2 linked regions of the Macaca mulatta genome follow. The protein of the gene in region 2 purifies or fractionates together with the protein of the main gene of each other region. This does not show direct contact. Links are inferred from orthologs where the notes say so. Each region holds a gene or a part of one and is shown on either strand. Other genes may lie near its edges.

Evidence for each region.
Region 1: the proteins of INPP5E (region 2) and PDE6D purify together in Homo sapiens (affinity purification with mass spectrometry; 3 studies listed by BioGRID and IntAct, with this or other methods). This does not show direct contact. The link is inferred for Macaca mulatta from reciprocal best matches to the Homo sapiens genes INPP5E and PDE6D.

What each region holds. Positions count from the first base shown.
Region 1 is NC_133417.1:137,046,071-137,049,974, reverse strand, and holds the start of PDE6D (retinal rod rhodopsin-sensitive cGMP 3',5'-cyclic phosphodiesterase subunit delta), read left to right. Parts: upstream 1-1,333; 5' UTR 1,334-1,528; coding exon 1,529-1,578; intron 1,579-3,904. UniProt on the Homo sapiens protein: Promotes the release of prenylated target proteins from cellular membranes. Modulates the activity of prenylated or palmitoylated Ras family members by regulating their subcellular location.
Region 2 is NC_133420.1:6,069,401-6,073,204, reverse strand, and holds part of INPP5E (phosphatidylinositol polyphosphate 5-phosphatase type IV), read right to left. Parts: intron 3,742-3,804; coding exon 3,644-3,741; intron 2,953-3,643; coding exon 2,828-2,952; intron 2,608-2,827; coding exon 2,476-2,607; intron 2,127-2,475; coding exon 2,019-2,126; intron 1,532-2,018; coding exon 1,370-1,531; intron 1,256-1,369; coding exon 1,140-1,255; intron 573-1,139; coding exon 436-572; intron 1-435. UniProt on the Homo sapiens protein: Phosphatidylinositol (PtdIns) phosphatase that specifically hydrolyzes the 5-phosphate of phosphatidylinositol-3,4,5-trisphosphate (PtdIns(3,4,5)P3), phosphatidylinositol 4,5-bisphosphate (PtdIns(4,5)P2) and phosphatidylinositol 3,5-bisphosphate (PtdIns(3,5)P2).

The sequences.
Region 1 (3,904 bases), on a different chromosome or scaffold from region 2:
TGTTTATCTTCCTGGTGGCAGTGACCATGTCCTTCACCTTTTACCCACTCAGTGCCTGACAAATAACAGGCTGAAAAGATATTTATTGAATTACATGGAAGAAAAAATTGGGTGAGTTCCCAGATGGGTGAAAGAGGGGACAGGCAGAGGAAGGAAGGCCAAGAGAAGGACAGAGGAGGTTTCCAAGGAAACCGTGGCTCACACTGCAATTTTACCTACTTCCTGAAATCACATTAAATGTCACCTTGAGTGGCAAAAAACAAAACACCAAGTCCTACCTAGGCTGAAAATAAATATCACACTCCCTCACTTGAAAGAAATCCACCAAATAAATGCTACCTAATTCTGGGTGTTTCAACACTGGATAGGAAAACTGTTCAAGGAGAATAATTCACATTGCTATGCTGCTAAAAATATCACCTCCTTAGTGTGGTGCAAAGAGTCCAGACTGCAAGTCAGCCGACTTAGGGCTGAATTCTAACTCTGCCCGAACTTGCTGTGATCTGTGGCCAATCCCTTCGCCTCTCTGGGCCTCAATTTCCTCATACGTAACAACGGGGTAGATTAGCAAAGTCCCTTTATGTTTTGATATTCTGAGTATACAATCCATAGCTCTCCCGGTCCAAAGCAGGAATACAGCAAAAACCCCTGAAAAACACGTAAAAGGCGCCTCAGACCAACAAGCACGATTTGAAGAAGTCATTTTGTTATCTTTCACGGTTTAATCAGTGTTTTTGTTTGTTGTTAGCAGCCTTACCATGATTTGCAGAAGATGTCTGAGTTCCATGTAAACAGAAGTTAACTCTCTGCGGGCTGTCATCTTCTTTTGACGGTGAGAAGGGTCTTCCCGCTGGGTTTCAAGTCTCGGGATTCCGAAACCACCAACTCAGCGGGCGGGTTTGTGAATTTGCGCACACTGCGCGGCACACTGGAGTCTAAGTTACAGAGGAACCGAGTGCAGAGGATGCTGGGATTTGTAGTCTCCGGACCTCTTTGTGGTGCGCTGGGATCTGTAGTCCCCCGAGTGCGCCGCTGGAATGCTGGGAAATGTAGTCTCTGTCGCGTAGCACAGTGCAACCAGCTGCCGTCTCGAATGGCTAGTGTGCTCAGCTGCGGGAGCAGGTCCCTAAAGCCTCTGCAGATCCGAAGCCAACACTCCGCTGGGACAAACTCTAGGCAATAACACCAGATGAATATTGTGTCCTATGGGACTTCCCGGGGAGGGCCCTTCCCATTGACGTTAACAGTCCCCCTGCGAAGGCGCAGCGCGCTCCTACTGGCTGGTTGGGATGCCAATCACCAAAGCTGGCTTTCCATTGGTTCCAGGGGGGCACTGCGAGGCTAGGGGGAAGGAGAAGGGATCAGGAGCGGGAGCTGAGGGGAGAGAGAGGCCGGTCCTGGTCTGGCCGCTGCGGCTGCTCGCCCGAGGTCTCCAAGCCGGGCTGCGGCTCCATCCTCGGCTCCTGGGCACCGTCTGCGAGGCTCCGCCGACCAGAGTGAGAAAGCCGCGGGCGGCTAGCGCCGCATCATGTCAGCCAAGGACGAGCGGGCCAGGGAGATCCTGAGGGGCTTCAAACTGTATCCGCCCGGGAGCGGGGCGGGGCCGGGAGGACTTGGGAGGCGGCCGCTCACTGAGGAGACTGGCCGGGGGCGGGGGCCGCGCCAGGTGGGCCCCGCGGAAGAAGGGCTGCGGGAGGGGAGAGGAAAGGAAAAGCGTGCCGTGCACCCGGCGGGACCAGGCGCGAGAAGCGCCCCCAGGGGCGTCCTGAGGGAGGAAGGGGACGTTGACGGGAGCCACAGGGGGTGGCGGGTGGGGACGGAAGAGCTTGGGGTACTGGGCTGCGAGAGGTGCCGGGCGTCGCAAACGCTATCGGAGAGACCGGCTGGGTTCCAATCCCCGGCCGGGACCCAGAGGCCGGGAGGGGGCTGCGGCCCGCAGGGAAGGGCTGAGGGGGCGCGGTGGGCTGATCTTAAAGTCTAGAAGCCTCTTTGGCTATAAGCCTACCCGAGGAGCGGGGAACAGTGACTTGGAGCGGGCGACCTTGTGTGGGACAAATACCAGTGCTTTTAAAACTCTCTCAGGGCCCCCACCGCACCGCACCCCACCCCCGTCTGGTTTCCACAACTTCTCTTCCAAACTTGTGGCTTCTTCCAGGGCTAGAGTAGTTGGGGGAGGTGGGGAAAGAGAAGTCCAAGATCAACCTCGTCTTAACACTCTTGGTCTTCTGAGGCATTGGTCACTGCTTCCCCCTCAGCGCCTCAGTTTCCTTTCCAGCAACACGAGGACCATAGGCTTAGGTGTGGGGTGCCTCGCGCTGGGGCTCCTAGCCGAGGTGTCTTTGCTCGCTCCTGTTGGTGCGGTTAATGCCTAGCTGTGGTGGAGCTGTCCAGCAATAGTGTGATGTCGCTGGGGCCACGGTAGGATAGTGGGGTAGAGAAATCATTGCCTCGGGCCTGTTGTGATGCCGCTCTTGCAGCCTCTCCTTAATGTGGTAAGGAAGCTTTGTGTTTTCGTGGAGTGTGTTAGTCTGTCACCATATGATGCAGATGAAAAAATGCAAACTTGTATATTCAAATTTTCCATTCTCCTGCCGGCTTTAATCTCTGCATACATCCTGTCTGTAATCTATAGTACGGAACGTTCTTAAACTGCTCCCTCAGTGAAAAGGTAGTCACCGCTTTAGGACTCCTCCCTTGGAGGTTTAGTAAAGCACTGTTTTCTTGATATTCTGTTGTGTTTTCACAATGTCCATGTCACCCTTGCAAAATTTAATTGCTTTGCTATAATCAGAAACCAAGTTGGTAATACATTTTAGACCACAGTGCAAAAAGGAAGTTTTGGATGTACAAGTGAGATTTTTCAAGTGAAAATTGATCTAGGCTTTTAAAAAAACCTAAAGGCTGTATCACCTTTGCATACTACCATTCAGGATAAAGTTTCAGTACTTTCATGTAGTGATTTAGTAGCAGCCTCTTTAGAGCTCCATGTGCCTTTCTGTGTTTCTCTCCATAATGGATCATATAGGTATATAGGGATGACTGAAGTGCTGGAAAAGCTATGACATGAATTTTATTTTTCCCTCAAGTAATTTGTATTATTACTTAACATATAACAATGTAATAATATTGTTACTTAACATGCTGTGTAAGCAGTAAACCAGAAACTATGGAGAACTGAGAGATTTCAGAAGCAACGTTTTCATCTGATTGGAAATACCATATTGCTGAAAAGAAGAAATACCTTTTTAATGGCTTTTGAACAAAGCAGAAAAGTTTGAGCTTCTCACCTTCAGTCTTGGCTCTTGAACCTGTTAAGAAAGAGGATAAGAGACAAATACGGAAAAGAGTTTCAGAAAGCAGAATCTGTGTCAGCCCACTAGAAGGAAAAGCGAATCAACCAATTCAGTGATGTTAGTGCATCCAGAAACAGGCTTTCGGGGAAAGCTTGACCTGAGCTGATTAAATCCTGAAGCACCAGGGAAGCAGCCACATCAAAAAGTTAGCATGAGAGCAGTGGCGTGCTCATCCTCTGGTAGCCTTTATTGGGCATTTGTGGAGTAAGAGGGAAAAGAAAAGCAGGAATGTTAAGATATGCTACTACCTTCAGGAAAAAGTAAAATTAATGTTTTAGTAAGAAACTGACTATTGTCTACCTTTTATTGGGTAAATAGATTTTCCGAACTTTCTTTCAGAGTATCTGTTTCTGTAAGAATAGTTTATCACTACAAAAAGAGCACCATTATGTTCTCCCACCAACAGTGTTGATAGTACTCAGTTTTCCACATTGACTAGGTCGGTCTTTTTTGTTTGCCAGTTTAGATAACAAATGATATATTGTTTTAATTGGTATTCTCCTGGGATCCCTACATCCATGAAAAGGTAATGTAGCATAGTGGTTAAGAGC
Region 2 (3,804 bases):
TAGGTGGGCGCTGGCCCGGAGGAGGGGCGTTAGGTGGGCGCTGGCCCGGAGGAGGGGTGTTAGGTGGGCGCTGGCCCGGAGGAGGGGTGTTAGGCGGGCGCCGGCCCGGGCTGGCACTGCCTCTAAGCACACAGAGGCCTGTTCCTGGGAGAGCCACAGGAAGGATGGGCGGACACCTGAGTGCTTAACGCCTTCCTCCCCCCAGCTGGCCACACCCAGCCCCCCAGCTGGGCCTCTTCACTGTTCAGAGCCGCTCCCCTTCCTGCCTTCTTCCTGCTCCAGGATGAGTCCAACCGATCCTGGGGGTGCACAGCCCTGAAGGTCCCAGGACAAAGCCCCAAGTGGAACCCCACGATGACAGGGACCCTTCTCAGCTCATGGGACGACGGCCCAACCCCCGGGCCCGAGAGGGAAGGAGCGCGGGAGAACACTGACTTGTCTCGCCCCGGCCTCACTTTCACCCGGAAGAGGCCGTACACAGGGCGGTGGTCGGAGGTCTTGATCCCGGGGCAGGAGGAGTAGCTCACGGGACAGATGTCACCCTTGTGGCGGCTTCTGTACAAGACGCGGTCCTTCGGGAAGATTCCGGAGGGAGGAAGTCCAGTTACTCCTGAGGCGCTGTGGGGCGTGGCCCACTCACCTCCCCGCTGTTCTCAAGTGCCCCCCGAGGGAGCCTTCTGGGACCCCCGACACTTATGCCCGTTTTGTTGCCCGGTGTCTGTGGCCAGCTGGACCAGGGCCTGTCCCTCGCCGCTGGAGACCCTGTGAACAGCGGCTGCTCCTACCCTGCCCTGCCTCAGTGGCTTCTTGAGGCATCCAGCAGACATCGGGACGTGCCCAGAGCTGCAGCCATGGGCCTGGCGGAAGGGTGAGTGAGGGTGCAACGGGCAGAGGCTCTGCACGCCAGGGGCGAGGGCATGGCCGGTGCCCTGTGTGCCAGTCGGCTCACCCAGCCTTGAAAACACCCATGGAGAGGGTGCCGTTCTCCACCAAAGGGGACTCGCCACGAGGCCAGGGTGTAGAGCTGAAGTTCAAGTCAAGGCCGTCCAGGTTCAGACCCCTGATGCCAGGCATTGGCTCCCGGCTGTGGGAGGTGCCCGCCCTGGAAGCACTCTGCGCCGGCCACGGGCGGGGCTCACCGTGTATGAGGGTGTCCTCTGCTTGGAGGTGCTGTCGTACGTGTCCTTCCCGATGTCAAACTTGTATGACGGGAGGAAGTGAATGTCCGGCTCCTGAAAGCCCTTGAAGATGGACCCTGCCACAGGATGGGCACCCGGACCGGCTCAGACCAGTTCGTGCCAGCCGTGGCACCCCAGGCCCTCACCTTTCCGCATCTCCCGCCACGCCCACCCCCCTCCCAGGCCCTCACCTTTCCGCATCTCCCGGATGAGCTGGTCATGCTGCAGCAGCGCCGGCACGTCCACCACCAGGCCCTGGCACAGGAGGGTGTCCACGGCCGTGCGCCCGCCGCTCAGGCGGAAGTTGAAGTCTCCAAACCAGAACACCTCATCGAAGCGGGTGGTGACGTCCGCTGTGGCACAGTGGGCCATGCATGGGCACAGGCAAGCAATGGCAGGTCCTTCCCCTTCCCCAGAACACGGCCTGGCAGTGGCTCCCAGGGGAAGTGGGTCTCGGGTGCCAGCCAGAGGGGCTGGGCCCCGATTCGCATTGGGACAGCTCCAGAAGGCACCTGGAGCAGCCTCAGGAGCAGACGGCGCCCATGGCAGGGGATGACCATGTCTCTGCTCCTTTCCACACAGCCGGGGGAGGCGGCAGGGCGGGCAGTGGTGAGGACCAGGACCCAGGCTAGCAGGACACGCTGTGAGTGGACGGGATCCACCCACCCCACTAACCGTGCTAAAGAACCATGAGGGGCTATGCGCTGGGGGCACTTGGACTTTTCGGCCCTCGCTTCCCAGAGCTCAGGACGCTGCCTCTGCAGAGCTGCCGTAAAAACGACGGGCGCCCCGCGTGTGAACCACGGCAGCACCACCCGCATGCAGTGTGGGGGCCCTCACCTGCGCTGGAGCGATAGGGGTTGGTGTCGGGCACGTTTCTGGGCAGGGCCAGGGCTTGCACGGTCCTGGTGTAGTCCAGCAGCCGCTCTGCCACCTTCCCGTCGCCCGCTGTGGGAACAGAAATGGGGTAGGGGTCACAGGGTTCTGGGTCTCCCTCAAGAGCTGCCCCCTGGACCATGCCCTGACTGCGCGCCCCCTGCAGACGCAACCCCACCAGGCATCCGCTGCCAGGCCTGGCCAGGGACATTTCTGCCTCGGAGGACGGAGCGCGGGCCCAGCACGGCATGCCCTCAGTGCCGGGGTCTGCTGGGGGTCCTCAGCGTGCATCTTAGCAAGCATGGTGCCCGCCCCACGGCCCTGGGTGGAAGATGAAGCCAGCAGCCAGGATCCCTGCCCTGGGCAGGGTCCTGGTCAGGAGAGGAAGGCTGTTCTCACGCAGCACCTGCGGCACGGGCACCGAGCGACTTACAGGTGAAGTGGGACGTGATGAAGAGGAAGGAGGTGCCAAAAAAGGTGAAGCTGACGCCCAAGGCCCCCTTGGTCTTGATCTGAGACACGATGCGTGTGGTCACCGTGGAGCACTCCACCTCTGCGGGAGGGGCAGCCCTCAGCTCACCTGCAGGACGCTGCAGGCCGGGGGTCGTGGCCGGACCCGCATGCCAGTGAGGGCTCACTGTGGAGCCCGTGTGTGACATAGCAACCCCCAGATCCCAGACGCAAAGCGTGCCTGTCCTGCCAAGGCCACGGGTCAGTCGTGGAAAGGGGGGCTGCCACCCTCCAGCCGCGCCCACCCCTCCAGCCGCACCCACCTGAGCAGAACCAGATGAGGTCCCGGCGGATAAAGAGCGACATGTAGAGCACGCCGTGGGCCGCCGAGGACAGCAGCACGTAGTGCGGGCCCAGCGTCTCCTGCAGACGCGTCTCCCACTCCCGCCTGCAGAGGAGGAAGCGCGGCCGGCTGGGGGACATGGCCTCCCAGCTCCACCACTCCCAGACCTGCCACCCAGAGCCCCTCGAGGAGCTACCAGGGAAACCCCACGACCTGGCCTCGGAGTCCTGCATGGAGACGCATTTGCCAGAGGCCGTTGTGGGCCAGAGTTGGGACCTGCCGGGGGTCACAGGCCCCAGTTCCACTTGAGTGGCTCCCCTGGATCCCTGCCGAGACCCCAGTGAGCAGAGCTCCTCCTGCCTGCATGGCTCATGGGCCAGGGGAGTGGGGCCCACCTCAGCTTGGGGCCAGGGCTCCTTCTCCCAGAGCACCTGTGTGGGCGGCAGCCACCTGCTGTTCCCACCACAACGTGGGGGCCCCAGGAAGCCTCGGAGCCCGGCCGTGCTCCCTGCTGCCCTTCTACTCTCTCACGTCAACAATTTGTTACCAGAATCCAATCTCATTGATTTTAAACTCTCCAAGTTGCCACCAGAAAAGAAACCGACTCATGTATCCCACCCAGGCGTGGAGGCTGCCCGTGCCCAGCCGCAACCCAGGTCTCAACGCCCACCCGTGCCCAGCCGCAACCCAGGTCTCAATGCCCACCCGTGCCCAGCCGCAACCCAGGTCTCAACGCCCAGCAGCTTCAGACACAGCAGCCCCAGGGCAGGCACTGCAGGGCCTGCGGCCGCCCTACCTGTCAGAGCAGCCCTCCTGGACACCGATGACGTACAGGTCCTGGGCATAGTCGGCCTCGGCTGGGAGCAGGAACTCGTCCAGGCTGGGCGGGAGCTCCTGGGAGGAGGGAGCACGTGGTGGGCCGGCTCCTCCCGAAACCTGCAGGCGCCTGTGGGCGAG